Rhinolophus ferrumequinum: one gene and its partners. The protein of the gene in region 2 binds, or shares a complex with, the protein of the main gene of each other region. Links are inferred from orthologs where the notes say so. Each region holds a gene or a part of one and is shown on either strand. Other genes may lie near its edges. The genes, in order: RBM8A, EIF4A3, ALYREF and UPF3B.

The links.
Region 1: EIF4A3 (region 2) and RBM8A share a complex: the UniProt entries of both Homo sapiens proteins name them as parts of the ALYREF/THOC4-EJC-RNA complex. The link is inferred for Rhinolophus ferrumequinum from reciprocal best matches to the Homo sapiens genes EIF4A3 and RBM8A.
Region 3: EIF4A3 (region 2) and ALYREF share a complex: the UniProt entries of both Homo sapiens proteins name them as parts of the ALYREF/THOC4-EJC-RNA complex. The link is inferred for Rhinolophus ferrumequinum from reciprocal best matches to the Homo sapiens genes EIF4A3 and ALYREF.
Region 4: EIF4A3 (region 2) and UPF3B share a complex: the UniProt entries of both Homo sapiens proteins name them as parts of the mRNA splicing-dependent exon junction complex. The link is inferred for Rhinolophus ferrumequinum from reciprocal best matches to the Homo sapiens genes EIF4A3 and UPF3B.

Annotation. Positions count from the first base shown.
Region 1 is NC_046305.1:50,159,156-50,166,294, forward strand, and holds RBM8A (RNA-binding protein 8A), read right to left. Parts: upstream 2,329-7,139; 5' UTR 2,250-2,328; coding exon 2,183-2,249; intron 1,910-2,182; coding exon 1,850-1,909; intron 1,724-1,849; coding exon 1,646-1,723; intron 1,473-1,645; coding exon 1,336-1,472; intron 964-1,335; coding exon 827-963; intron 717-826; coding exon 671-716; 3' UTR 512-670; downstream 1-511. Other genes in the region: LIX1L (LIX1-like protein), read right to left, coding at 6,991-7,139.
Region 2 is NC_046304.1:53,515,924-53,523,753, reverse strand, and holds the start of EIF4A3 (eukaryotic initiation factor 4A-III), read left to right. Parts: upstream 1-4,819; 5' UTR 4,820-4,855; coding exon 4,856-5,024; intron 5,025-7,522; coding exon 7,523-7,595; intron 7,596-7,830. UniProt on the Homo sapiens protein: ATP-dependent RNA helicase. Involved in pre-mRNA splicing as component of the spliceosome. Core component of the splicing-dependent multiprotein exon junction complex (EJC) deposited at splice junctions on mRNAs.
Region 3 is NC_046304.1:54,671,041-54,677,943, reverse strand, and holds the start of ALYREF (THO complex subunit 4), read left to right. Parts: upstream 1-3,903; 5' UTR 3,904-3,924; coding exon 3,925-4,161; intron 4,162-4,605; coding exon 4,606-4,737; intron 4,738-6,145; coding exon 6,146-6,293; intron 6,294-6,858; coding exon 6,859-6,903. Other genes in the region: ANAPC11 (anaphase-promoting complex subunit 11), read right to left, coding at 3,105-3,213. UniProt on the Homo sapiens protein: Functions as an mRNA export adapter; component of the transcription/export (TREX) complex which is thought to couple mRNA transcription, processing and nuclear export, and specifically associates with spliced mRNA and not with unspliced pre-mRNA.
Region 4 is NC_046284.1:37,074,232-37,081,621, forward strand, and holds the start of UPF3B (regulator of nonsense transcripts 3B), read left to right. Parts: upstream 1-4,370; 5' UTR 4,371-4,459; coding exon 4,460-4,615; intron 4,616-5,497; coding exon 5,498-5,604; intron 5,605-5,769; coding exon 5,770-5,876; intron 5,877-7,390. UniProt on the Homo sapiens protein: Involved in nonsense-mediated decay (NMD) of mRNAs containing premature stop codons by associating with the nuclear exon junction complex (EJC) and serving as link between the EJC core and NMD machinery.

The DNA of each region.
Region 1 (7,139 bases), on a different chromosome or scaffold from region 2:
CAGTGCCTCCCGGCCTCAGCCACATCCTTTTCCTCTTTGGTGTCCTCAATGCTGCTCTGGATTCTGTCCTCCATGGGGCATTTGCGCTTGGATGCTGAAGAGGGCACCAAGAACTTAACATAGACTCCTCCAGGGAAGGAGGGTCTGGAAGAACTCCCCGACGGGACATTCAGACCCTTAGACAGATGGAAGTACACACAAACGTGGCAGCAACAGCAGCAGAAATGAAAGAAACATTCCTATAACATCCATTTGCTCCGGACAGAGTATATAGGGACAGAATAATTATTCTTTAACATCATGAGAACATCTCACTGCTCTTCCTATTCTTACTTCCAAGGAAAATAAATACTAAGCAGTGTCTCTACTTAGACCCTTTGAGACTTGAGACTATGTGTAATGTAGATATTCACACAGAATTCAGTCACTGGGAGAAGTATCTTTACAGTGACCCATACTACCTTGTTGGAAATAGCACTTCAGAGCTTCCAATGTTAGAACAGAAAAGTAATTTTAAATGTAGAAAAAAAGAACGGGACATTTATTTGTAACTCACAAGAACCACCAAGCAATAAGGGAAGAGATTAAATACAAACAGTGAGTTCCAGCCCAGCCCTATGTCTCCAAGGCTGGAATCTCTGGAGAGAACACCCGGACAACACAGGACCTGTCAGCGACGCCTCCGGTCTGGACTCCTGCTGCGTCTTCGGCCACCTCTAGGGAAAATGAAGGGAGGGAGGTCCGTCAGAGGGACACAATACAATGTCCTTATTCCATTTCACTCATATTCCCTTCCCCAAGACGGTGTGTGCCCTCTCCACTTTACCTCCTCTTGCTCTTGGGTGGACCCCGAACAAAACACCAGTCCACGCTGATTGGCTGTCCCATCAAATCCTGGCCATTGAGTCCTTCCATAGCAGCCTGGGCCTCCTTGTATGTTTCATACTCAACTAGAGTATAGCCCTAGGGCAAGTGGAAAGGCAGGTATCAAAACCCTCCTATTCCACCGAGCTGTTTTCTACTCAAGTAGGACAGTCCATGTGTATAAACTTTAAACAATGAATATATATCAGAGGGTGCCAAAAAATATATATATACATCTTAAGAAAGGAAAAACTGTGTTAAAATTGTAATACTCAATATATACCGATAACAAAAGATGAATACAAGTCATGTGTATACATGTTTTTGGCACCCCGGTATATCCCTACTGTATTTACAATATGTTGTCTGTTTCTTTCCTAACAAAATCAATTTCCAATGATATTTTATTTCAGCTTTGCTCTTGGCCAACCACACCAAACATGGGAGGCAATGGAGTGTAACTTAGGATACCTTCAGGTATCCTGTACGCCTGTCCAGGTTGAGGTGGATATTTTTTATTTCCCCATATTCTGCAAATTTGTCATGGATGTCTTCTTCCGTGGCTTCTTCATGGACTCCAGTGACAAAGAGAATCCAGCCTTCAACAGCTGTTGGGGAAAGGAGGGAGGTTGTTTGAGCCCATGAGAGAAAAACTTCAAGCAAGATCACAGGAGTGTGAACTCCAGAGACTGGTTAAGCTATCTCTGACCCCTTTCCTACTGGTTTTACTTTATTAGTCCCTCATTCCTACACAGACACCTACAGGCTCCATGTTACTTACAGCGTTGTGGTCCAGGTTCATCGCCATCCTGCTCCACGCTGTCATAATCCTCACGCATCCGCGCTCGAGACCCCTCTTCTAATAAGAAACATACACGAGATCACCGGAAATCCCTTCTCCCACCGTTCCCCAGGAATCAGAATGGGGACTCCAAAACCCGTAGCTCTAGCCGTTCTAGACCCCCCTTTCCCCACAAACACTCACCGGAGCCAAAGCCGCGGCCCTTCCGTTTCTTCGCTTTTTCCTTCAGTTTGTGGATGCTCTCTGCGCCCCATAAGTAAAGAGTAAGTAACAAAAACAACACAATAGTCTCTCTCCCAAGACAACATCTGAAAGCGGACCCCCATCGCCTCCCATCCCAGTCCCTTCCCAGTCCCGCCCCCAGGTTCTGCCCCGAAGGGGGCGGAGTCTCCACTCCAACCGAAACCCGGTTCCCCGCCTCCCACCCTCCCTGCCGGGAAGAATGGAAATTGTTTTCCTAGTACGCCCTTCTGTCGCACCTTCCCCGCTTCCCGCAGCCGCCTCCACCGTCCTCACCGTCCCCATCCTCATCCATGGCGAAATCTTCGCCCCCGGCCTCGTGAAGATCCAGCACATCCGCCATCTTGCCTTCGTTCTAATTCTCGTCTGTGCCGCTCAGGAACTAAGCATCTCGGGAAACTGTCGCGGAGGGGAAAGGTCGCCAGTCAAGATAACCAATCAAAAGCCTACTCTAAGTCCCGCCCATCGGTGCGGTGAAAATACGTCCTGGAGGCGGGCTTAGTCCGGGAAGAGCCGGAAGTGTTCCTGTAGCCATTTTGAGCAGGTCGTGAGCTGGAAACAGTGTTGCCGTGAGAGACAAGCTAGGGGTAGGCGGAGATGGTGGCTTCCTCCTATTTAAGGCTGCCTTGGAGAAAAACTACTGACGATGGAGCTCAGCCTAGTTTCTTTAGTAGATGGCTGCCTTCCGTCTGTTTTCACCCCATACTAGGAAATGGAAGTTGATAAAAGTTTTTTCTCTCAAAACTTCCAGGCCTGTACCCTGTTCCTGGGAGCAGCCGGATCTGTGATGGAAGCATTGTTAAAAAATGGTTCAGTCAGCAATGCTGGCTCCAAGAGCTGCTTCTGGAACACACAGTGACGGCACCGAATTTCTCTCTTAAAGAAACTAACAAACCTAATTGTCTTGAAATTGGATTGGTGAAAAAAGATAAACCAACTTTTTCTTTTTTTAAAAAAAAGCTAAACTCCCAAACTCTTCCCACCACCTCTGGGAATTAAAGGAAAAAAAAAAAAGGCATGGCTTCAAACAAAATAGGAGCTTTAGCTTTTTTGAGAGCATGCGGGTATTTCATGTTTAAAAACCTAGGAGAAGAGGCAAAACCCATATTGTCCCCAAATTCTGGAACCCTGACACAGGCCTTAAACAATAGTAGACTGCAGATTCCCTTATTAATTTTTTAATCAAACAGTTATGCATGCCTGTATATGCGTGTGTCTAATATTAGAGGAGGTGCTGGCAATACAAGGAAAAATAATTGCATTATCAACAATCATAATTACATTTGTAAGTGATAACTGCTATCACAAAGGACTCCGGCAGTACAAAGAAAGTGCCTAATAGGACTGGGGGTAAGGGAAGTCCATGTAAGGGACAGCTTCGGTTTGAACAGGGCCTTTAAGATTTGGTAGTTTTCCAGTCAATGTAGTTGTATTGAGACCAGGAGACACTAATCTATTCTCCACAGTAGGTAGCGGGATCTTCTTCAAAATTAGTTGGTCACATCCCCCTATTAAAAACCCTTCCTTGAATTATTTTTGCACTTTGAATAAAGTTCAAACTCACAGCCTGCCCTGCCTATGTCTCCAACCTCTTCCATCACCATTCTTCCCTCTCATGCATTACGCTCTCCCTACACTTGCCCTCAACTCGGTTGTATTGCACTGTTTCCCATCGCAGGACTTTATGCAGCTTTCTGTTTCTGATGGTCTTACTCCAGCTCTTCACATGGCTAGTTCAACCCCATCCTTTGTGTCTCCCTAAAATACTATGGTCACCCAAAGGGGTCTTCTCTATCCTATCCTTCACTCTGTTTATGCCTTCATGGAACTTAAATCAGAATCCTTAATTACCTTGTTTACTTTCTAATTTGTTTAATGTGTGTTTTTCCCATTAGAATGTAATCCTTATGTCAAGAGACTCATATTTACAACTGTATTCGCAAAGTTTAGAACAGTGCCTGGCTCAAAGTAGACATTTGGTACTTACTGAATTAATGATTATCAGAATAGCAAGAAATTCTGTATGCTTGATGCTGTGTGACTAGGAAATAAAGCTGGAAATACAGTTTAAGGCCAATGCTGAAGATTCTGGAACTTATCCTGAAGGAAATAAATTTCCCTACTTCAAGTATTTGCATATTCATTATTTTTAACATTTGTAAATGGGCCTTATTCTATTTTTATTAGCATTTTTCCTTAAATAGACTGACTTTTTAAACAAATTTACACTAAATTTAGATATCACTATCATATGTGGAAAACCTATGTTTTTTACTACAAATTCAGATAAAAACGTAACTAGTAAAGATGAAAAATGTTTGCCCATCTACCACCCAAAGTCATCACAGGTAATAGTAAGGGTTCATATATAAAACTTTGGGAAATACTGCTAAAGGTGAAGATAGCTAAGTGATTATTTAAGCAAAGGAGTGGTACAGTCGTAAGTATTTTAGAAAGAAATCTGACAGTAATGTGGAGGATGTTAAAAATGAAGGCAGAGACTAGTTAGGAAACTATTGCAGTGGTCCAGCCCAGAGATGATAAAGGACTGAATTAAGGCAATAAATATAGACAAAACAGATTAGAATGTTTACACAGGAGGTAAATGCAACAGTAAGTGGCTTATTAGATGATGCTAGGGAAGAGTTAAAGATGGATCTGGGGTTCTAGCTTAGGTAACTGGGTAGATAATAATTCCAATAACAGATCTGGGGAATCAGGAGCATGTATGGAGAATTGGATTTTATTTTGGATATGTGAGTTCACAGAGCTTCTGTTATATTCAGGTGGTGATGTTCAATATATGGAAATATAGATGTTAAGACTCAAAATAGGTTGGGGTGGAAGAAATAGATTTGAGAGTCATGTATGATACAGTTTAGACCACCATGATGGGTGAGATTGCCAGTGATATTGTGTAGAGCTCAAGGAGAAAGGATTAAAGACAAAATCTAGGCTCCTCAAATGTCTGGAAATGGAGAGGCAAAATGTCTTCCCCCAGCAGTACAATTTTATTTCTACCACCCAAAAAAATACTAATAAAAATTCTTTTTTAGTATACCTATATGTAAGAGAAAGGGTTATTTTCGAGCTCCTCTGATACATAGGTCTCAAGAAAGAGTCAATCTGGCTCACTAGACAAAAATCTATTTTTAATTGTATAAAATTATACATATAAAATACATAGAAAGTACTAAAAAGATAAGTAAAATCTTTAACAGCAAAAGTGTACAGATCAGGGAACAATTTTTCTCAAGTCCTTTGAGATCTTACTTGTTGGTATTCTAGAAAAACAAATCCAGGAAGTACGAGGACAAGTTCTTCCCACAACTCACACCCCTTAACACTTCCCCAAGAAAGGAGCATAGGAGAAATGAGGGTTTGTGATTTCCAGATTATAAATATCAATAAAAACTGAATAGACACACCTATTTTTAAATGTAGGAGCCTCTGCTCCAACCCTACATGTGCTTCATGGAACAGAGAGAAGGGGTGTGGAGAATTCAAGGAAGTCCCTTTCAAGAACTAGTAACAATTGTTGCTAGAGTCCTTACCTCTGATCCCATATGTACTGGTCACCAAGATGATTTCAAACGCAAGAAAGCTGACTTCCATCTTGTCCCTGTCTGATCCAAAAGAACAAACTGTGGCCTGTTTCCTAACCTATTTCTGAAAGCAAAGTGTATAACTGTTAAATGGGAAGTCTAATTGTAAGCACATTATACTTCCCAAGTTCAGTTTAGAAAGTGCATTGAGCTGAACTATAGTATAAAGGAGACTACAGAAACAAGGGGGAATTATACCTTAGAAGACCTACAAAAAATACTCCCAAAGGTGAATGCTTTAGCTGTTCTCCAGATCCCATCTCTCCTATTCCACCCAGGAGAGAGGTGGGCGGAGAGAACGGTATTAAAAAGCAATCCCTGATAGCTGATTATTGATTCTCTTTCCCTTCCTGCAGTCTCCCAAGGTTCCAATTAGGAAGTGCCATAATGCCAAAGTCTTCTCTGATTTTCCTGATCTACTCATGCTTTAATAGTGTGGAAGAAGAGGAGAGAAAACAAATGTGAATCTAAGGTAGTAGACAGCAGCAACTTCATGGCAGAGAGAGGAACATGGTCCTCTCCAAATAGGATAGGTCATTTTTCCAAAGAACAAAATAATGGGAGGAGAGAGAAGAGGGAAATAGGTTTTACCTTTTATCAATCTCTGCAGGCAGGAAGGTCTAAATACAGGGCTTAACTAAGCTGTGTGAGCAGGGGAGGAAGAGGAGGGAAAAGTGAAATACTGAAAACAAGCAACTTCAACCCTGACCCCTTCTGTAGTGTAGAGTACGTCCAGGCATCTGGACTACCGGTATGGTATCTCTGCCCCAGATGCAATTTAGGTGATAATCCCCTACAGATTGTGTTTATACTTCCTCTTGTTCCTGGGCACTTTCTCAGGAATACTTTAAAAACAAGAAACCGTATCTCCACTTCCTTCCAAATAATAAAGTAAAGAAGCCTCAAAATGAAGGACCGATAGGAGTCAAGAGAGGGGAGTAAGGTAGTGGTGGGGAGGGGTGGTGTAAGTTAGGAAATACCGTTACTGGAGGAACAATTCTGTACCAAGTAGGCCCAACTCAAGATAAATCAAAGCAAAAGGCTTCGGACTCATCATAACCTGTTTGAGTCTAAGAAAAGCAGGAATGGGGTGGGGTGCACATAGCCCTTATTCAAGCTCCCTGGAATTTTAAAAGGAGGAGACATGAACACTTAGTCCATCGTCTCATGCTACTGAAATGACTACATAGTTACTAGGAGTGTAAGAGACAACAAAGCTCCAAAGACAGCCTGCTCTTCTTGTAAAGTGGTGTGGAGATGTTTCAAATGAAACTACATCCAAAAACTAGAAGTAAGAAAGGGGATCTCTTAGCAAATAGGAATCCAGGTGTAGAATCCAGGTGTAGAATTTATACACATATATATATCTCTATATTTTAAAGTATAAAATTGAGAAAGTATGTACAGAAATCACACTAAGTCTTAGAAAGGACATATAAAAAAGAGCCTGGAGAGGACGGAGAGTATGTGGGTGGATGCCTAGCAGTTGGAAGAATGCATGTTGCCCAACTGCCCAGCAGCCAACATGAGAATATCTTTCTTCTCCTTGTGGAAGCGCAGCTCCTTGCCTGCCAGCCGGGCTTCATCCAGCTCTCGCTCAGTAGAGGCCAGCTCTCTAGACAGTGCCC
Region 2 (7,830 bases):
GATTGACAGGATGGGGGACGATCCTCCTTCCTTTGTGAACAGTCAGCCGGTTCATCATAACCCCTCAGGGAAAGTGCTGGGGAGACTGGGATGAATCCTGGAGACTTTCTTTGGTTCTCATGATCAAGTACGGGAAGTATCTTACAATTCCAATGGATGCACCTGAAATCAGCATTTGATGACTACTATTTAGATTCAGATGACAGTCTTGGTTCTTCGACTGCGTTTCCCCAAAAATCAGACCTAGCCAGACCATCATCAGCTCTAATACATCTTTTAAAGCAAAAATTAATATAAGACCTGGTATTATTATATTATATTATACTATATTATATTACATAAGACCCGGTTTTATAGTAAAATAACACCGGGTCTTGTATCAAGTTTTGCTCCAAAAGACGCATTAGAGCTGATGGTGCAGCTTGGTCTGATTTTCGGGGAAACACGGTAGGCTAATACATGTCCAGAATCGGATCGCTGCTTGACACCTGCATGGCTGTGCCCTGATCACCACCTACCTGTACCCCTGCAATGATCTCCTAGCTGCTTCCTCCCTTGCCCCCAAAGCTAGTTCTCAACACAGCAGGCAGAGCAATCCTCTTAAAGGGGGAGTCCGGTCACGTCTTTCCCTTTGATCTAGAAGCCCCCAAGTCCTCACCATGACCCAGACACAAAGCCCTGCTTATCTTGTACTTGATGACCTAATTCCCGTTCAACATGCCACACACAGGGGCCTCCTTGCTAGTCTGTGAATGCTCCGTGCACACTCCTACCCCAGGGCCTTTGCACCTGCAGTTCGCTCTGCCTGGAATGCTTTTTCCCTCACCTCCTTCAGGACTCCACTCAAGGGCCACCTTCCAGAGAGGGCTTTCCAGACCACTCTATCTAAAATCATAGACTTCCCACCCTGGCCGTCCCTCCACCTTGCCCTGATTTTTCTGTATTGGACCCATTGCTCCCTGACATATTACATATCCTAGTTCCTTGTTTGCTTCTTGCCCTCCTCCCCACTATGAGCCTGTGACCTCCAGAGGACAAGAATTCTTGTCCTTCGTATAGCAGAGCCAGGCCATCTTTTACACTGATTATCAGAACGCGTTCCTGTCCCCGCAAAGAACGCACCCTGAAGTGGCTACTGTGGCAACTACGGTGCCTTTAGCCTCCATCTCCTTGTCTGTAAGACCTTTCCTGATCTGTCCCTGTTCCCCTCCTCCCACTCCCCACCTCGCCTGCATTCATGATGCCACAACCACCCTGGCCTTGTCCTTTGACGTGCCAATACCCTACCCCTCCGGGGAGTCGTTGCACTCCGTCCCTTCTCCCTAGAACCCCGCCTCCCCCACCTCGTGTTTCGGTGGCCACCTCCTCTCACAATTCATATGGCACCTTTCTCCAGCCACCTGGTAAGTCAGCAACCTCCTAACTCCCTTCCACTTTGCCTCGTTTCGTTTGCAGCAGACTGGCTATAAAACCTGCAATTATCTTCCTGTTTTGCATGTTTTGTTGGGCTTGCCCTGTTCTGGAACACAGGTTCTGTGAGGGCAGCACTGTCTGTCCTTTCTCCACCCAGTCTAGCATCTCAGGGGTGCTGTGTGCACATCTGCTGCCCTGATACTGGACGCCAGCAGTGCGGGGTCAGCAGTCCAGTCCGGCGGGTTCAGGCGGAGCTTCGTCGGCTGCCCGCCTGGTGGGTGGGTTAGAGAGGGCAGCACCTAGAAAGAGTCTGCCATTGAGTACCAGGTAGTAGGTGGGGTTCCTGGCAGGAAGGTGCTGTTTGGGGACAGCCCCTTGGATCCAGGATGTCAATTCCCGTGGTGATGACTCATGGAAATCCAGCTCAGCCCAGCCCTACAGCACCCACCGAAACCTCGAAACCTCGTCCCGCCCCTGGACGAGGCCCACCCCTTTCACTGACTGCACTCGGGAGTCCAGCCTGGGCCAGGGAAAGAGGCAGATCGGAGGCGCAGCCCAGCGTCATCCGTCTTCCCCAACACGCTGGCGTGAACTCAGGCCCCCTCCAGTGTCCCTCCTGTCCTCTTGCCCCGGACATGCAGGCACACTTACTGTGTGCTACAGCAGTGATGGGGAACAAAACAGACATGGGCCTTCCCTGATATTGGTCTAATCAGGTGAGATAATACCTGGCCCCAAATATAAAGGGTGTGGGAGGTGAAGCGCAGGAGACAGAGTCTATCTGGGGGGAGAGGTCATCCCCCGGATTAGACTGACCCCAAGAGGACAAAGACGAAGTACGCTTTGTTCCCTATTGCTCCAAGAGCACCGTCCACCAAGAGACTGACTTGACACCCCCCCACCACACAGCTTCTGTCATTTTCATGGACTCTGGCCTGGAAAGCTAGAAGGTTATTGGTCCCAAACCTAAGGAAGAGACCCTTTAGAGGTGTATTCAGACACAACAAAGGGGACTTTGCCAGGAAAACAGCATAAAATACCATAAAAGTGTGAAGGCAAAAAATAAGTGTAGGTGGATCCCGAAAAAGATAAAAATTCCAAAGTGCAGAAGAGGCCATCATCCTCTCGGCACCAGAAGAGCGCAATCATTTCTTCCCCTCCTCTCCGAAGCCAGTGTTGTGTGAAGCCAGTGTCGTGCGGGGCGGCCTGCAGGGTCTCCCTCCCGCTCCCCACACAAGAATGCAGGATATGGTGAGGCCAAAAAGGAACACCCACGAAATTAATCTGGGGAACGTAATTTGGTGGTTACCAGAGGGTAAGGGGGTTGGGGGGTGGGGGATGAGGGTGAGGGGGATCAAATCTATGGTGATGGAAGGGGAGCTGACTCTGGGTGGTGAACACACAGTGTGATTTATGGATGATGTGATACAGAATTGCACACCTGAAATCTATGTAATTTTACTAACAATTGTCACCCCCATAAATTTAAAAAATAAAATTAAAAAAAAAAAAAGGAACACCCACGGAGCCATCGGTAGGGGAGTCACACCACTATACTCTTGCTGGCGGCTGGGTTGGAGACACAGGAACCAGGAGCCACACAATTCTCAATCCTCACTGCGCCGCTTGCAGACTCAGCCACCCTCTTCTTGCTAGCCCCCACTTGCTAGCCACAGCAGTTATATTAGTGGCCAATGGCTCACTGGTTACAGCTGACGGCCAACTAGCCACAGCTGATGGCCATTTGATCACAGTCGACGGCCATTTACTACCTGAGCCAGCACCTTTACTATGTGAGGCCGAGCGAGAGCCTGGAAACTGCTTTTTAGGGCTCTGTCCCCACAGCCAGAATTCCTCAAGTCAGTAACCTCCAATTCCCTAGTCCCCCCCACACTCCTGGTGCTTATTTTACATGCGTTAAGTACTTAGGGCAGCAAGACCAATCAGAATCTCATATAGAATTAAAATGTTTCTCGTTGCTACACTGTAATAGTAAAAAGAAACAGGTGAAGTGAATTTAAGTAAGTCAGTACATCTAAAATGTCATTTCAACATAATCAACGTAAACATTAGGCATGAGCTGGGACGTCTTTGGAATCTGTGCGCATTTGACAAACAGCCCTAGACAAGCACGCAGCTGGCAAAACCAGAGTGTGCGCAACCCCCGAGAAGGCACCGGATGGATGATCCCTCGTGGAGTGAGAAGACCTAAGAACTTCTATTTAAAGTCTAAGAAAGAAACTCGGCTTTATAAGTACTTCATATTTGATTAATACCGGCATCCTTCTTAGGTACGTTTAGCAGGTCAATTAGCTCTAAGGACTGGACTTACTCTGACGTCAGGGTGAGGGCTTGGCCGAGAAGCCCTCACTCCTTTGCTGGCAACCTGTGCAACCCAGTGCCCGCTGCGCTGCCGGGTGTAGCGGGTGACCCGAGCGTCCAGCGTTAACTAAACTCGCCTTCCCCACGGGCCGGAGTTCCGGCAGTCCCGGGCAGAGGCCCCGGGTGAGGGCGCGCCGGGTGACGCGAGCCAAGGAGTCAACGAGAAAGGACCGAGCTGGCGGCGTGCGGGAGTCACGTTCACAGAGGGAAAGACACACAGTGTTCGTACCCCGGGGGGGACACAGGCCAGGCGGGGAGGCCGGCTCTGCAGCCGGAAGTGGAGGGTCAGGTGGCACCACCGGCAGAGGCACAACTAGTTCACGTCCTCCAGGGCAGCACAAGGCCGTGGTCTCCGGGGGTAGGAATTTACGGAGGTCGGGGCTGCAGCGTCAAACGCGGGCGCGTCCCCACGGTCACGCAGCCGGTGCTGGGTCCCGGTGCGGGGACGCCGCCCGCCCGCAGCTCACACAGCCAAGTCAGCTCTCACAGGCCGATCGTGGCCTCCCGCGACGCGTCCTCCGCGGCCCAGCACACGGGACCTCAGCCATGAGCACTAACCCATCTCCCACGTTGTGCCCGCGCCCTCCGGCCCCGGCCAGCGCCAACGTCGGAATAAGCGTTTAAACGGGGGGACGTGCGCACTGGGGGGCCCTCGCCCCGGGTGCCACTTGAGGCAGGGCCGCCTGGGGCTCCATTCGGAACAGGGGCGCCCGGGCTCGGCCCGCGCGGAGGACACGGCCGCGGGGCCGCCGCCGCCTCAGCACCAAAGCATCTTCCTCCGAACTCCCGAGGCCCCACCCACCGTGAGATCCCGCGGGAGCTGACTTGGCGCGAGAGCATCAGGAACTCCGCCCCTTTTCCTGGGGCGAGCAACCCTTCCGCGTCGCGGGACGAGGGGCTCCGCGTCCCTGCTGAGGCGCGGCCCTGACGCACGCTCGCACGCACGCTCTACGCAAGCCGCGCGCCTGCGCGGTGACGTCAGTTCCTGTCGGCGGCGGCCTCGGGCCCTGTTTCCGCTGTGCGCTGCCGCGCGCGCTCCGCTCTCAGCCGACCCGGGATCATGGCGGCCTCAGCCACGATGGCCACCTCGGGCTCGGCGCGGAAGCGGCTGCTCAAAGAGGAAGACATGACCAAAGTGGAGTTCGAGACCAGCGAGGAGGTGGACGTGACCCCCACGTTCGACACCATGGGCCTGAGGGAGGATCTGCTGCGCGGCATCTACGCCTACGGTGAGTGGGCGCAGGCCCGGGGCGCGGGCGGGAGCGCGGGGGGCGAGGCGGGGGCCGCGGGGCGCGGGCGGGGGGGGCCGGCGCCGGACGCCGCGGGTCGGAGCTGAGGCCCGGCGTGGAGCGAGGCCTGGGGCCGCTGCTGGGCGCCCTCCGCCCCCAGCACGCCGTCCCCACGCCGCGTCCGTGGGCTCGGTGTGGGGTCCTCGCGGCAGAGCCCCGCGCTGGTTCCTCAAGAACTGCGAAGTCTTCCGGGCGTTTCCGAGTCGTTCATTCAGCCGGTACGGTCTCGCGCCGGCAGGTGTTAGGGCCGAGCGCGGCTCCGGGTACCGGCGTTAGCGGTGAGCCGGGCGCCTTCGTGCCCCGGGGAGCTTACGTCGTCTGCGGGAAGGACGGCACGTAGCCCAGGTCGCTTCGGGGAGTGATAACGGCTGTGAAGACAAGAAAGCGGGATACCTGGAGTGTGACTTGGGGGGAGCGGGGGTTGAAATAGAGCCGGTAGACGAGGGGGCTCCCAGGAGGAGTCGACGGTGAGCTGAGAGCTGGAGCAGGGAGCCCGTTACGAGAAGACGGGGGTGGAATTGGGCCGCGGGAGCAGCCGATGCCGGGGCCCCGCGTTCCCTGAGCGGGGTGCAGTCCAGGAACAGAAAGAAGCCTGCTGTCCTGGGAGCCCAGGGATGATGAGCTGGGAGAGGGGACCAGGGCCAGCTTTTGAAAAGCGTCACGTTAGGTGATAAAACGTTTGAGTTTGATTTGTAAGAGCAGTGGGCAGCCATTGGAGGATGGAAGCCAGGAGGTGAGGCCGTCAGAGTTACTTACAGATGTTATCCGGGTGTCTGGATTTGAGGGGAGGTAGGGCAGGAGAGGGGCAGGGGGACGAGTTAGGAAGCTTTTGCTCCTGGCCAGGGCAGAGGTGATGGTGAGCACCCCCCGGAGACGGGTGCTACGAGGCTCCCTGAGGGGCCGAGTCCGAGCAGCAGAGGAAAGGGGGCATGCGATTCCTGTGTTGAGCCGGTGGTGGTAGACACACCAGAGGAATGATTCGCGGGAGACCAAGAGTGGTCTGTTAGAGTTTATTTGGCTGTTTGAGCTGCAGGAGGTCAGGCTGGTGGAGCCAGCAGAGGGAGAAGATCATAACCCCCCGAGCAAAGGGGGATGGAGTTTTATAGGAGGGTGAACGAGGCTGTGCCCCCGTCAGTGACAGGGTTTCAGGGCTCCACGCCCCGGCCCCAGGTCACACACCGCCCGGGTGCACTGATCACAGCCCCCCAGGAGATAAAGCAACACAGGATCAAGACATGATGGCTTTGAAGATGCGGTTTCTGCTACTGGCCTAAATATGGCTTAATGGCTTAACAGGCGGGTGGTGCTGCCATTTGCTTAGGTGGGGAGCGCCCGAGGGAGGCAAAATCAGGGGCTCTGTCTAGGACATGGTGAACTTGAGGGGCCTGCAAGCCATCCCGCTGGAGATGCCGGGGAGGCAGGTGTCTAAGTGGGGAGCCCTGAAAGAGGTGGGGTCGGGGGTGCCGATGGGAGTGGTCTGCATCTGCCTCACACCTGGGACTGGGCCATCTTTTACCCAACAGCCCTTGACATCACCGCGGTGTAGACAGAGCAGAGCAGGTGCTGAGAGGATGGCAGGGGAAGTTGCAGTCAGGCTTTGGAGTGAGGCTGACAGCCCTGCCGTCAAACGCGGTTTTTAGTTTCCCGTCCATGTGCTTGGTCATCATGAGGGGTTTAAATCACCTATTGTAGTTGCTTTAGTGTTAGATGGGAAATTGTACTACATTTTAAAGTACTACCAAACTAGTTAAAATACAGTTTGGTACATGCGGTTTTGTTTACTTGGACAATATTTCTGTTCCTTCTGAGTGGGCTCCTCCCTCGGTCACTTACCCTGCTGTGCGAGAGGGATGGGTGGTGGTGGTGCCTTTCCTGTCGCCCCCGCGTCACGACAGGGAGGAACCGGGCGCTGACCACCCCACAGGGCCGCCTGAACAGTAGCTTATGTGCAGTTGCAGACGAAGCAAACAACCTGCAGACGTAATGCTGACACGAAAGAGTGGTGGTTACAGCATTAATGAATTGATTTTCCTTGTTTTAATTCAAAAGTAATGTAAAAAAGAAAAGCAACGCAGGTGATTGTAAGGTAGTCAGACAGCACAGAAGTAATTACATAGGCTAAAATGTGGGCCTCCCCCACCCTTTCTCCAGGAGTACCACCACCACCATTTTGTGTGTTTTCAACCCAACTAGGAGTCGTTATACTCTGCAAGGGTGTTCCTTGTAAAATAAGGGCCCGCGTCAGTCAGTATAAAAGGCCACTTCTGCCCAATTTCAGCAGCTGTTTCTTGAGCGCTTGGTATGTTGGACATGGGGTTAGGAGGGGTGGGGTGGGGGTTAAAAGAAGATGCCATCTCTGTCCCAAGGAGCTTACAGTATATGGGTGTAAAGATGTGGGGCTAGAGGTTCGAGCTAATTTGTTCTGGTTTTCTTTACAGGATTTGAAAAGCCATCGGCAATCCAGCAGCGAGCTATCAAGCAGATCATTAAAGGGAGAGACGTCATCGCACAGTAAGTCTGCTCGCACGGAGGGGTCACATGCTCTGGTAAAGCCAGCTCAGGTGACCCTGGAACAACACGGCTGTGAGCTGTGTAGTGCCACTTACACGCGATTGTATTCAGTAAATACGCTGAAGGTATTATTCTCTCCCTTACGGTTTATTGGTAACATTTTCTTTTTTCCAGCTACTTTATTGTAAGAATATAGTAGATAACGTAAGGAACGCAGTTGCTTACATTATGGGTA
Region 3 (6,903 bases), about 1.2 Mb from region 2:
GGCCAAGAGGGCTGGGGCCTCAGGCCCGAGAAGCTTCCGTCCCCAAGCGGCAAGACACCGGAGTGGGCTGCACTGCTGTCTACGGCCTGGCCTGTTCTAGGCCGGCTGTGAGCACAGTGCTACCTTCCACCTCTCAGCCGTTTCTAGCCTGAAAAGGTCCCACCTCCAAGGCCCAGGCACACGCTGCCGGCACCTGGGAGCGCTGCATCTATGGACAGGACACGCCACACAGCTCGTGCTCCAGACACAAGCGTCCCTCTGATTTCCCAAATTCTAGAAAACGCTGTCAGTCAGCGGTGCCAGCGGCGCACAGTGACCTCCCCAGGCCCCCCGAGCAGGGTCCCCACAGACATCCAGGAGCTGACACTCGCTGCTTCCACCCTGTCCTGGGGTGCCTTTCCCCCATGCCACTGCCTTGGGGGCCCTCTACACTTAGCGAGCGCTAGCTACATCCAGAGGTCACTGCTGCACAAACACAAGGGACCTCAGAGACAAGCCAGGCCCAGTGACCAGGGACGTCTTTTCCAGGCAGCAGCTCCATTTGCAATACGTGTCTTAGGTGCAGAGGACAGAAACTGTCTTTGGACCCGTGACCACAGGGCCAGGCCTGGCCGCCACTCTTGACACCAAACACGGGGTGGCGTGACCCTGCAGCACATTAAAGAAAGAACACTACGGCCGAGCCATAAAACAATGCTCTCAAAACCCCACTTAACAACCGCTTGCACAGAACAAGGGGCTAGGAACACGGCCTGCACTCTCCTCCAGCCTCTCAGCACTCTGCAGCCTCCTTGGCACCCCATCTCAGACAGGCGGCCGGGGTGGGTACTGGGTCAGGGACAAACATGGGCTCCTAAGTACGCTTGGCGTCTGCTGAGCACGCACAGTTCCCCACCCAAAGGGCACAGCCATCCACCAAGTCATGAGGGAAAGTGGCCACCGCTCCACCTTCTCATTCACTTGTTCGGGACAATGTTTCTCAACCTTTTAAAAATCCTTTCTAAAACAAAAATGTCCCTTGCTTCCTGAGCTTTTATGACAAAACCACCAGAAAATTATGTGCTCAGCAAATACAAAACATGTCACTCACTCTCCTTCCCAGGCCTGTGCAGGAGGCCACACTGTGTGACACCTGATTTAGATTAGTTCCCACCCCCCCCCACCCCGGGCCCCCCGGGCCTTTCCAACCTCAGAAGAAAGAACGCCCCTTGGAATCACCATATAAAAAGTAGAGTCCCTTACAAATAGAGGATGGAAAACCATGAGCAGGAGCCTGCTAGCCGCCTGGTGGGGCACCCGGCCACCCAGCCACTGCTGCAGAGCACGTGGACAGAGGAACCTGCCGGGGGCACGTGTTGAGCACACGAACACCAGGTCGGTGGCTCCCCCAAAGGCCTGCTAGTGTCTTGATGGAAGTCCTTTTTAGTTAAAACACCCCTCAACAAGACTTACTCCCAGAGCCCTCAGGGCCACGGGGCAGGTTCATCATAGGCTCAGAGGCTGTCGTTCCGCACAGGAGCTCCACTTCAGCCACAGAAACCCAGTGCCACCTCAGCTGTACAGAAAGCACCTCATGCTCATCAGGCGCCTTGAACTTGACAACTGGCTCACTCCACAGGGTCCAAGGATCAGACTCTGAACCCCTACTCTCGCAGCTGGCAGGCCCACATGTGGAGATGCCCAGCCACAGGCCCAGCTGGAATAATACTGGCGGGCTCCTCAGGCAGTGCAGGCCCAGTGGTGCCATCTTTATACAGGCTCACTAGCTCACACTGACCAAGGGCACGGCCACAAAAATGCTTTTGAGGCCTTTTCAGAAAGGAACAATCTGCTGCATAGAAAGTTGCAAGGATTTGCTCCTTCCGGCTCCCACTGTCTCTGTGGTACCCTCAGGAAGGGCGATTTAAAAATAGATTAAATCAAACCAAGCCTTGCGCATCGCTGTTCTCATTAAGTGAAACCTGATCAAGTAGAGCCAATCAATGAGTTCCTAAGATTAAGTCCCACCCATTTGATTAAATCAGGATGGACTGATTCCTGGGTAATGAGATCTCTTTTCACCCAAAGCAGATATAAAGATTAAGCCTAGAAGAAAAAAGTATTTGCACTAAAAGTCCATGGTTTACATTTCACTGTAAGAAGCAAAGCACGGTTACTGTTCTGGGCACTCATGTAGCCCCACGAAGACCTGGTCATTCACAGGGCAGTGAGGAGCTCCTCAGGAGTCCCCAAGCCCCCCTTCCCTCTTGGGACCGCCCTTGTACCCTAGACAAAGCCTTGACCCTTGCTTCTGCTTTGGGTTCACTTGGGTCTGACTAAAAAACTCAATTCATTGGTGCAAAAATCTGCTTTTGACCTAAATATATAATCAAACATTCCTACTTCACAGAACATCCTGACGACAAAGGAACAGGGCAAAAGACATCACAAAGAAGAAATCCAACAAAACTTGATGGTAGGCACTCTGCAAGGTAACACGTGGGTTTCCTCAAGGAGTCAGGTGTCTTTAAAGGGGAAAGAGGGGCGGGGGAAGGGCTGTTCTGAGTAGCTAAGGAGCAGAGTAGTGAAACGGGGAGTCCTGGTTCAGACCACTTGGGGAAGAAGACATTTGGGGACAACCGGAGAAATCTGAATGTGGGCTAGGGATGGGCACAGGTGACACAGAGGAATTCTTAGGTTGTCTGATGTGACAACAGTAGCGTTACATTTAAATGCGACTGAGTGAGTGGGGGGAGGCAACACATGAAGCGAACATGGAAACGTTATTCACTGTTACTCCCTGTGCTCAATGGAGGGCGTATCCTTCTAATATTCCTTTTCTTGTTTGAGAATTTTCAAATGAAAGGTTTTAATGCATCTCTTTGTCCCCTGAGTTTCCCGGCCCAGTTTGATCGTGATAAAAGGCTGTACTGTTTCTCCTTACAAAACTTTTGATGGTGTCTTTATACAAATATGGGCCCAAACCGCCTACCTTTTCTCTGCCAACTTTTCTTGAGAAAAGGGAGACCACAACCCAGGGACTTTGTGCGGGTATTTCTGGGGGAGACAGCACCGCCAGGCGAGTAAACAGAGCTCAAGACACAGCGAGCACAGGGGACACTCACAGTCCGGGCAGCAGCCATTAAAGGCCATCCGGCAGATGCCGCAATTCTCGTCGTTGGCCACCCAGAGCCAAGTGGCCACGCCGTTCCAGCACTTAATCTTCACCTTCATGACGGAGGAGCCTGCGGGCGAGGGGAAGACATCACCTGCTGCCCTTAGTCTGCAGAGCGACAGCATTTAGACACCAAACAAGGGATGCTGCCCGAGGCAGAGGGTCGGCTCTGAGAAACCCTTGTAGCCACCGAGAGGGGGAAAGGCGGCTAAAGGGGTCGCCCGTGGGAGGACCGGAGCCCCGGATACTCGCCACGCACTCAGGGCATCTGCAAAGACCGGCCAAAGGGCGCGCTGGCTTTCGCTACTAAACTGCCACAACGTGCCATACAGCACTTCTTGAAGGACATGACTAACTTGGGGGTGACGGGCAGAGACTCGAACCTCGCTTGCTGTGAGTTCACGCGGGAAACCACCACCCAGCCGGAGTCGCCCGAGGGGAGGGGCGACGAGCCCCGTTCCGCCCCGCCCCGCGCCCAAGCGGACTTAATCGCGCGCAGCACCGCCCGCCTTCAGTTGGCAGCGCCGGAGCCCGCGCGCGAAGCTACAAAAACTACCGCGGCCGCGGCCCGGGACCTGGCAGTGGAGCCCGCTGACCCCCCCCGCGTCCCAGTGCGCACGCGCCGCCCCGGCCCCCACCGCCTCCGCCGGCCTGCAACCAATCGGCGGCCGCTCCGAGAACGCGGCACCGGAAGGCCCCGCGCGTCGCCGGAAGTGACGCGCCGGCGTGCTGACGCGCGGGCTCGAGCCGAGGCCGATTCCGCGCCCGCCATGGCCGACAAAATGGACATGTCTCTGGACGACATCATTAAGCTGAACCGGAGCCAGCGAGGCGGCCGCGGCGGGGGTCGGGGCCGCGGCCGGGCTGGCTCGCAGGGAGGCCGCGGCGGCGGAGCACAGGCCGCCGCGCGAGTGAGTCGGGGCGGCGGTCCCATGCGGAACCGGCCGGCCCTCGCCCGCGGCGCGGCGGGCGGCGGTGGCAGGAACCGACCGGCGCCCTACAGCAGGGTGAGTGCGGAGGCCGCCGGCGGGCCGCGGCAGGGGAGCGGCGCGGCGGGGCGGCGCGCGGCCGAGAGGGCGACGGGCCGGGCCGGGCGGGTGGGCGCGGGCGCGGGCGCTGGGCCGGGCGGGAGGTCGCGCGCCGGCCGGGCCCGGGAGGCGGACACCCTCCCGGCCTTTGTCTGGCCGCCGAGCCTCGTGGCGGCAGGCACTGAGGGGACGTTTCCGCGGCCACACCGGCGGCGAGAAGTTAGTTGGAAAAGTCGCGGGACGTGGGGCCCCGGCAGGGTCGACTGCGGCTCGGCGCGGGCGGGAAGCGGAGGGCTTCAGGCCCCTTTCCGCACTTTCCTCCGGGCCCCGCTGGGAGAGGGTCTTCCAGGGGCAGTGAGGGCGAGGGGCAGCCCTGGAATGCAACTCACGGGTTTCTTTCTGTTGTGTGTTTTCCCCCTTCAGCCGAAACAACTTCCTGACAAGTGGCAACATGACCTTTTCGACAGCGGCTTTGGGGGTGGTGCCGGCGTGGAGACCGGTGGGAAACTGCTGGTGTCCAATCTGGATTTTGGAGTGTCGGACGCTGACATACAGGTAAGAGACAGGATCCTGTCGGTCGGTAGTTGACCCACGCGGAATTGATGGCGTTTGGGATGTGGCCCTGAATCCCTTCCCACCTTAGGACATTGAGCCCTCCCAGACACCCGAGGGCTAGCCACTGTCCCCTGTCAGGGGCTGCTAGGGTGGAGAGCCGAGGTCATGCTAGAGCTGAACCTGCAAGGAGTAGGTCCATTTGTGCTGGAAAACAGGCCCCCAGCCTAGTGTAAGGAGCCGCTGCCCTCCCTTACTAAAACCTGTTCCGTGAGTGAGGTTCTCTGCCAGAGCTTCCCGTTTCTAACAGGAAAAGACTGGTCAGACTCGCGTGGTTCCTGTGTTACTGATGGAGCTGGGCTGCTTGCTTGCTTTACTTTGTGCTTGTTTTCATGATTCGTTGAGAGGAGAAAGACCTACCTCTGTAGAGGTGACAGCACAGAAGCAGGCCAGGGCGTCTTTCTGGCTGTCGGCCGTGAGCCCTGTGTCTTACACGTGCCGGTCCACTCACCACCATCCCTCAGGTCTTGTTAGTAGCATGACTTGCCGACCCATCTTTGGTTGAAGCCTCTTCCCGCCCCCCCCTTTTTCTTTTTCTTTTTTTGATTGAACCTCAAAGGCATTTAAACCTATTTTCTGGTTAAATGACAACATCTTGGGGGTCAGTCCTGGAGATGGCCGGGTCAGGGTTCTGGGCCTTCCTGGGTTCAATTTCCCAGAGCCCAGCTGTGGGAGGACAGAGCAAGGCTGATGAGCACTCACAGTGTCTCAACACTTTTTTTAAGGTGGTTTCTGGCATCCACTGGAAACCGCTTTTGGTGAACTCCACTTCCCGCTGTGTGCCTGCGGCCGGAGTAGCCCCACACTCTGGGTTCCCTCTCCAACTCCCAGCCTGCCTGAGGTCAGGGCAGTTTCCATGGCAGCGCTTGACTTCAGACTTTGCGGCAGGCTTGAGTAGGAGGAGAGGGAAAGGTGAGCCAGAATCTGCCCCGGGGGAGGGGCTGGGTCAGGGCTCCCGAGTCAGGGCCCTTGGAGCTGGTCCACATGTCAGACGGCGCCCCTTGAGCTGTGGTCTTGGCCTTTGCTGTTTGTTGGCACAGTCCGTGGGTGTGTTGTACACTTTCCTTTGCTGAAGGAGATAGTGACCTCATGTCGTGCCCTGCACTGATGGGCTTTGCGGCCCTTCACCTGCATCGTGGTACAGATGTCAGGTCCCCAAGTTGGCAGGAGCCCTCAGGCCCAGCTGCTCCTGGAGGGGGCTGTCCCACCTGCCCCATCCTTGCCCCCATTTCCCACTACCACTGCCCTGCCCCCAGGGAAATCCCCTCAAAGTAGCTCACACTTCCAGGGACTGTCCCTGGGCCAGCAGAAGGAAAAGAGCCCGCTGACAGTTGCTGTTTCTAACTCCCAGGAACTCTTTGCTGAGTTTGGCACTCTGAAGAAAGCGGCCGTGCACTACGACCGCTCCGGACGCAGTCTGGGAACAGCCGACGTGCACTTTGAACGGAAGGCAGACGCCCTGAAAGCTATGAAACAGTACAACGGCGTCCCTCTGGATGGTGCGTTTGGGATTGGACCCAAGAAGACTGAGGGGCCACGCCTGGTTTGTGGAGTTGGGGCTGGCACCCGTCCATGCAGGAATATGGCTCTCCCCTCTGGCTGAGGACACTTTGCACTCGCCCCTTTGTCTCTCTCCCACTCTGCCACTTCTCACGCTGCCCCATACATGTGGACCAACCTCTTGTGAACCCCCACCAGCAAGCTACATCCCTCCCCTCGTTCAGCTCCTTCGGAAGACTCACTCCTGTGAAGCCTTCTCAGCCGCCAGAGTACACCTCTGAGTGCGGGGCTGTAGTCGTAAACAAAGGTACCAGCTCTCCTCCTGGCAGGGCGCCCACACCGTTCCGCCCATGAGCAGCCTGGACACCTGACCAGACACCCTCCTAAGCTGGACTGAGGAGCGAGGAGGTGGTGGTGGGTTGTCGTCGGCGCCGTCTCTTGTCGCGAGCGATCGAGACACGCACGGCCCCTTCCCAGTGCCTGCATGGAGACCGGGGCGTGGTGCCCTGGGTGGGCGTCAGAGGTCTCTAACAGGAACGTGCCCTCTTGTATTCTTTGCCACAGGCCGCCCCATGAACATTCAGCTCGTCACGTCACAGATTGACACAC
Region 4 (7,390 bases), on a different chromosome or scaffold from region 2:
TGCCGTTCCCCTGCTTTCAAGTATGTGGGTGCTGGCAGCAAAATGTTTCCATTTCTGCCGTAGCCTGGCTTTAACAAAGTCTCACTTGTGGTAACTTTTAACTGAATGGGAGCGGCCGTTCGATGTAGCAGAGGTTCTACTGGTGCGGGTCCTCCCTTCTGTGGTCTCTCATTCAGGATTCTCAAGATGTCCCATGGACGCAAGTCCCAGTCACGCATCGTGGGAGGGTGTTTTGACACCCGGAGACCTTGCTTCAAAAGGCCATTATAGCGTTCAATCATGCCAGCTACTTGTGGGTTATACGGGGTATGAAAGAACCATTGCACGTCCATCCTGGCAGCCCAGCGCTGCACTTCTTGCCCCATAAAATGGGTACCCCTGTCACTTTCAATGACTTGGGGGTGACCATAGAGGGCGCACAGCCGTGTAAGAGCGACCAATGCATGCCGCTGATCCGCAGCTGGACACGGCCAAGCAAACATCAACCCTGTAGCAGTGTCCACTGCTGTGAACGCATACATCACATTGCGGGCCTTAGGCAGGGGACCAATATAATCCACTTGCCAGCGAGTGAGGGGCACCCTCCCTCGTGTAATCTGCTGTGTCTCCCAGTGGATCCTCCACCTTTGGGGGCTGTCCTGGGCACAGACGGCACAGTCATAGCAGGCATCTGCTATCTCCTGCCATTTCAAAGGCAGACCCCAGCATCTGCTCACCTGCCACATTGTTCGGCTTCCAGCGTGCTGCAATTTCCTATGCAGCCAATGGGCCACATCAGTGGCAGGAGCCCATTCTAACCATCAGACCCGTGCTAGGGCATCTGCTTCATCATTACCTGGGGACACTAAAGGGGACTGACCTGTGACATGCATTAGGGTCACCTCCTTTCTCTGCCCTAGGTCCCAGAGGTCCTGCCACATGGCTTGACCCCACACAGTGTATGGTGTCCGTTGGCCACTGTTCTCAGGAGTTGGACCCCCAAGGAGGGGTGGGAGGACATGGATGGCTCTCCGGCCACCGTGGAGAGGGCCCTGCAGGCTCTGGCTGAGCGGTTGCCGGAGGAGGCGAAGGCTACAGCCGGCTGCGTGGACTGGATGTTCCTCATGGCGTTGAGTCTCAAAACGGAAAGTGCGCTTAATGAAATGATCCAGGTGCCGGACCAGGTGTCCCGGTTGGAGGCTCTGGAAGCCCGGGTCCGCCTGTTAGAAGAGGAGCCCCACAGTGGAGAGTCTGAGGCAGAGGCGGAGGAAGTGAGTGGAGACAACGTAGCTCCCAAACCCCTAGCCTGGCCAATCTTGAAGCAAAGGGTAAAACGTGACCCCGGGGGCGTTGCTGCAGGCAACCCAGCTGTGATTTAGTTCACAACCTACACCCCTTACACTCCCACTGAGTTGCAGGAGCTGGGGAGGTGGTACAGACAGAGCCCTGGAGAGCCAGTCTCCGCTTGGCTACTACGTTTATGGGATAAGGGAGCAGACAACATTCTCTGCTCCCCAGGCGAGATGGAAAAGCTAGCCGTCGTGACAGTGCATCCGTCCCTGTGACAAAGGTTACAGAACTGCCATAGGTTGGCTCAAAACCAGGGCAACCATTCTCTAATGGAGTGGCTCATTGCTGCGGTACGCACAGTATGGGGACAGGCTGGCGAGTTGCCAGACACATACCTTTTGCAGTAGGATGGAGGCCAAGGCCCCGGACTCCAGGTCAGGGTGTACGCTGAGAATCGGAGGTTTCATGTAGAACTGACCATCCACTGGTCTTCCAAGAATAAACAGAAGGTTTTAGCTCTTGTTGATACCGGAGCTGAATGCACTTTGATATATGGCAACACCAACTATTTCCAGGGACCTGTGGAGGAAGCACTATTAGGGCTAAAATATACCTACAAATTGGCCAACTCCCCTCTAAACGATATGTAGTGCATATCTCACCCATGCCTGAATACATCTAGGGCGTGGACATTCTGGCAAGCCTTACACTTAACACAACAGCAGGGGAATTTAGACTGTGATGCAGGGTGGTGAAGGCAATCACCTAGGGACATGCCAAATGATCTCGTTTGAGACTCCCATCCCCGCGTTGCATAACAAATACTTGGCAATATCACCTGCTGGGGAGAAGAGATAACCCAAACTATACAGGAGTTGGCAAAAGTGGGCATTGTTCACCCAACCCACAGCGCCTTCAACAGCTCTGTGTGGCCCGTGTGAAAACTAGATGGCACTTGGAGGATGACTGTAGACTATCGGGAATTGAATAAGGTAACTGCCCCCTCTCCCCCGCATATGCAGCTGTACCTAATATTGCTAGATGGCATTGGACAAGCCCTGGGAATATACCATTTTGTCATAGATCTGGCTGATGTTTTTTTCAGTATAGCTAGTCAAGACCAAGTTGCCTTCATATGGGGAGGGCAACAATGGACATTTACCGTCCTCCTCCAAGGCTACCTACACAGTCCCACTATGTGCCATGGCCTCGTGGCAAGTTGATCTTCAGCTCTGGTAAAAGCCTGTCTCGGTGCACCTGTTTCACTATATAGATGACATAATGTTACCTTATGTGTCTCTTTCAGATCCAGAGCAAGCAGCTGGAACGCTGATTCCCCACCTGGAGCAACAAGGATGAGCAGTGAACTGTACCGAAGTGCAAGGGCCTGGGTTCTCTGTCAAATTCTTGGGTGTTACGTGGGCGAGTAAGACAAAAGTCATGCCAGAAGCAGTTACTGACAAAATACAGTCTTTTCCCGTCCCCTCATTTGTCCCCCAGTTACAGACTTTTTGGGGCTTCCTGGGCGACCCTTCATCCCCCACTTGGTCTAAATCCTTAGGCCATTATGTAGACTGGTTAAGAAGGGGATCCCAGCTCATGCAAAGTTAAATACCCCACCTGGAAATCATGAGGCAGACAGCCTCACCGGGCTGCGTCAGCCCCTCAGGACCATCCATGACTCCCCTGGAAGAAAGAGGAAGGCCCAGCTCATTTGCTCTCCTGACACCTGGGCCCTACCAGGCCCTCTGAATTCAAGTGATTGGGCCACACAGTCTCATGCCTCAGTGAGGCACCAGAAGCAACCTCTTCTTGCTGCTGCCGCAAGACTTACCCACAGGAACACACACGGTCTCTTGGCCATGGCACTGGCAAACCAGGCCTTGGTGGTTGGGTATCTTGGGTATCTTAGCCCCGTGGAGTATTGGTATAGAATAGAGACTAGTAATATCCCCAACCTTTGTCTTAAAACCCCTCCCATGTCACTACTGAGAATCCAGGGCCCATGATAAAGCAGAGCTCCCTATATATGACCCCTTTTCTGATTAGTTAGCCTCCCTCACTCGCTCCTGGCTGTTCACATTTTTTGGGTATTGTTGCTTTCCTCCTGGACCTGTTATTGTTTTTCCTTTGCTTATGTTGTTGTTGTGGTGTCTGGTTACAATGTACATCTTCAACCTGCAAGAATCTGGGAGCTATGATGAGGGGGCGGGATGTAGGGACCTGTCCACAGGCAGATAAGGTAGCTGGCAGTCAAGGTTTCCTGGCTCCATGGGAATGCTACTGCATGACAGCAGGCCTGCAGGGCCTGCAGATGATTTCTCCCATGGAATGCTCTTTGTTTTACTGTACTTATATAACTTTGCTTCTGCGCCTGTGTGCAGAATGCTACTCCTCTGGCTGGCCACCACTGGCGACTGTTCCCAGTCTGTAAGTCTCACTAATACCTATCTTGCACCCAGTTACCTGGTGTGTTCTTTGGGCTTGTGGCTTCTCAGGCACAAATGTTAGAACAACTCAGACTCCGTCGGAACAGGCAGTTAGGCAGAAGGTGAAAGGTCCTGCCTGAGTCTTTTTATTAAAAAATAACCAGCTTAAAATAATCAATATCCCAAAAGACATTTTGGGTTGGCAATTTCTGCTTCCCCTCAGAATCAATGATAGAAAACACAAATTGTTTCCCCTAGTGAGGTACACTTTGGATAACATCGGGTTTATCAGAGGAACACGATATGAAGGACAGCACGCAGAACCTATCTTTCGATCTGAGAAACACTAAACATTCGATATTGAAGTATTCCTTTTACTTAAAAATAGAGACCCTGAGATACCTAAGGCTCCAGAGCTCCCAGCCAGAAGCGGGTAACTGCTTTGCATGCCGGGATTTGTAGTCCAGGAAAGAGTGCTTGTAGTCAAGATGGAGGAATTGCTGCGCCGCGAGGGGACTGGGCGGTGCGCGGATTGGGCTGGGTGAATTTAAGACCAGGTATTCAAACCTCTCCTCCAGAGGAAGCAGGGCGCCCTGTAGTCTCGCGAGATCCTGACGAGGCCCAATGGAATGCGGGGCCGTCTTATCACTAGGGGCATTTGGTGGGGGCGGAGTCTTGACGGAGGTGGGCCGGCAGTCGTTAGCTGCTCCGCGTATGGGCGTTTGGGCCGAGCTTCGACTGTGAGGAGCAAAGCAGTGGCCATGAAGGAAGAGAAGGAGCATAGGCCTAAGGAGAAGCGAGTAACTCTCTTGACTCCCCCCGGGGCCACAGGCAGCGGCGGTGGGGCTTCCGGGGACAGCACCAAAGGGGAAGATAAGCAGGATCGGAACAAGGAGAAGAGGGAGGCGCTGAGCAAGGTGCCTGGTCCGCCGTTGGCCCGTGAGAGGGCGGGACGCGTTCGCCACCCATGGAGGATGGTTGGGAATGGGGTTGCCCTCTTCCTCTCCCGGTCGACCCTTCTATTTCTTCCCCTGTGTGAAAACCGCATCACCCTGTCTTAATCTCTGGACCGAAATGGATGGAGCCCCTCCCGGCCAAGCCCCGGGGTGGGAGTGAGGGAAAGGGGATTCCCAGATGGAGAAGGGTTTAGGTCAGAGCTGTGAGATAATGGGAGGGGTGGGGAGCGATAATGAAGAGAATGAGGAATTAAAACATTAATTGGGGGAAATTATTAAATACTGAAGGGACTATCAAGGGTGGGAGTAGTTTGTGATAGGAGTATTAATGGAGGCGAGTTGAAGGAGTATGGGGAAATTAATGGTCTGGGGGCCGGATCGGGTGCATCCTATTTTGGGAACAATGAGGGCATTCGGGATATTCCTTAGAGTTTTGAATTCTTTATGCTGAATGAGGAAGGGTTTTGTTTTAGGATGTTGGATGTGGTAGGGAAATAATAAATCAAGAGTTCGTGGCACCCACAGAAGACCAGGGTTGGCCTACTAATTTCTTACCACTACATCTATTGAAAAATGGGTGATATAAAATGATGTGGAAACCTGGTAAACTTCGGGGCTTCAACCTGAGATTTTCCTTGGTCCAGACAGTTCTCATTTCTAAGAGTTTTTAAAAACTGTGTTACTATTTTTTATTAATTCTGAACATTAGGAGACTATTTTCTCCTGGGTTTTTATAAATGATCTCATCTTTCAAAGCACAGCTTTCTTCAGGGATGGTGATTCATTCATGTATGACTGAAAATTGATTTGTACTAATTTTATTTTACTTATTCATTTCTGAAGGTGGTAATTCGGAGATTACCTCCCACTTTGACCAAGGAGCAGCTTCAGGAACATCTTCAGCCTATGCCAGAGCATGATTATTTTGAGTTTTTTTCTAATGATACTAGGTAAAATAAATAAATAAAGGGGGGTAAATGAAAAAGGTTTCTTCCATTCTTTTTTATCCTACTGTTTTCCATTTGAGTTTTGAGCCTGTCTCTTTAATATGTGCATTCTTACAATTCAGCCAGACACCTGCAAGCATATTTACATAATTGCTTTCCTCTCTGCAGTCTGTATCCTCATATGTATGCCAGAGCATACATCAACTTTAAAAATCAAGAGGACATTATTTTGTTCAGGGATCGCTTTGATGGTTATGTATTCCTTGACAATAAAGGTGAGTTCTAGTAACTAAAAGAGTTTCTTTGTCATTTGTGTTTAAGACAATGTGTGTTATCACAGTGTTTTCTTAATGCCTTGATAGCTTTTCTAAAATCCTGGATGATAAAACGTGCAACATTTAAAGACTTAACCTATTGACAAACCTATTATAATCTTATACATAGATATGTGTCTTTTCACAGTCCTCTGGTATTTTTATTAACCCGTTATTTCTATAGTTTGATCAACTGAATGAAATTGCCTGTTTTCTCCTCCTGTGACAATTTTTTTGCCCTGAATTAGAAAATCTGTTGTTTGACCAGTTTCAGCAGTTATACTCATAAGTGACTCTTTAAACTTGTATGGCAAGTTTAAACATTTCTCATCTTGCTTCAGGGATCAACATTTGTTTACTTAATTCAAATAACTTAAGCCAATAGTTCCATGCTGGAATACTGTTTAACATTCTAAATTGTATGTAATTAAAACATCGAATTTGATGATCTCCCACTTTGTATCCAGGAGTCTAAAGAGAAGAAAAATTTCTGCCTTAACTCTATTTATTTTCTGCGGCTTGCAACATTTAGCCAGAGAATGTCCTCACTGCCATTTGTCACTTTTCTTTGGCTTTGCAATCATAGTGAATGATGTGTCTTTTTGTTGAGTTTTGTTGTTTTCAGTATTACTTCAAAGTTAGTGAAAATGAAAGCTTTACCAGGGAATATGCCTGTAAAAGTAGGATTGCCACTGTCCAACTTTTATAAATCCCCACAAACTAGCTACTTCTCCCCTCCAGCAACTATATTCCGTAGATAGCAATGGTTTCCTAGTGACTTAACCTGGAAATCTCTGAGTTGTGTTTAACTCTTTCCTCCTTTTTATCCCTTACATTTAAAGAATTGATGAATCTTTTAAATTTGTTTCTTAATGTCTTATTCATCCAGTCTAACTAATATTTTCATATTTGATATCATCACCTAATGCTTAGACAACCACTGTCTCTAAACTTACAGGGTTTTCCTTTTTTTCCTTTTCTGTGTAATTCAGTCTAACTGCCATAAAATTAATCTTTTTGGAAATAGTCATTTAAAATAATAGTTGTGAAAAAGTCCAAACTCCGGGCAGCCGGTTAGATCCCCACATGGACCACTGTGAGCTGTGACCTCTACAACTAGATTGAAACAACTACTTGACTTGGAGCTGATGGGTCCTGGAAAAACAAACTTAAATAAATAAAAGTTTTTTTTAAAAAAAAAAAAAAGTCCAAACTCCTTAGCCTGGTAGTCAGGACCCTCCATAGTCTGGCCTCACTTCCGTTTTCTTCAGCCTATCTTCCACAGTTTCGTTCTGCTTTGGTCTGGGTTATCTATTCATTTTCAAACACATCAGTTATTAAACTAATGTGATTCTGCATGTACCAGGCTTTCCAAAATTATGTTTCCTCCATGACTGCTTTGTGATGCCTTCTGGTCAATTCTACTTACTTTATTCTGGCTTATGTCTATATGCCAGTGGTCTTTACACCTTGTG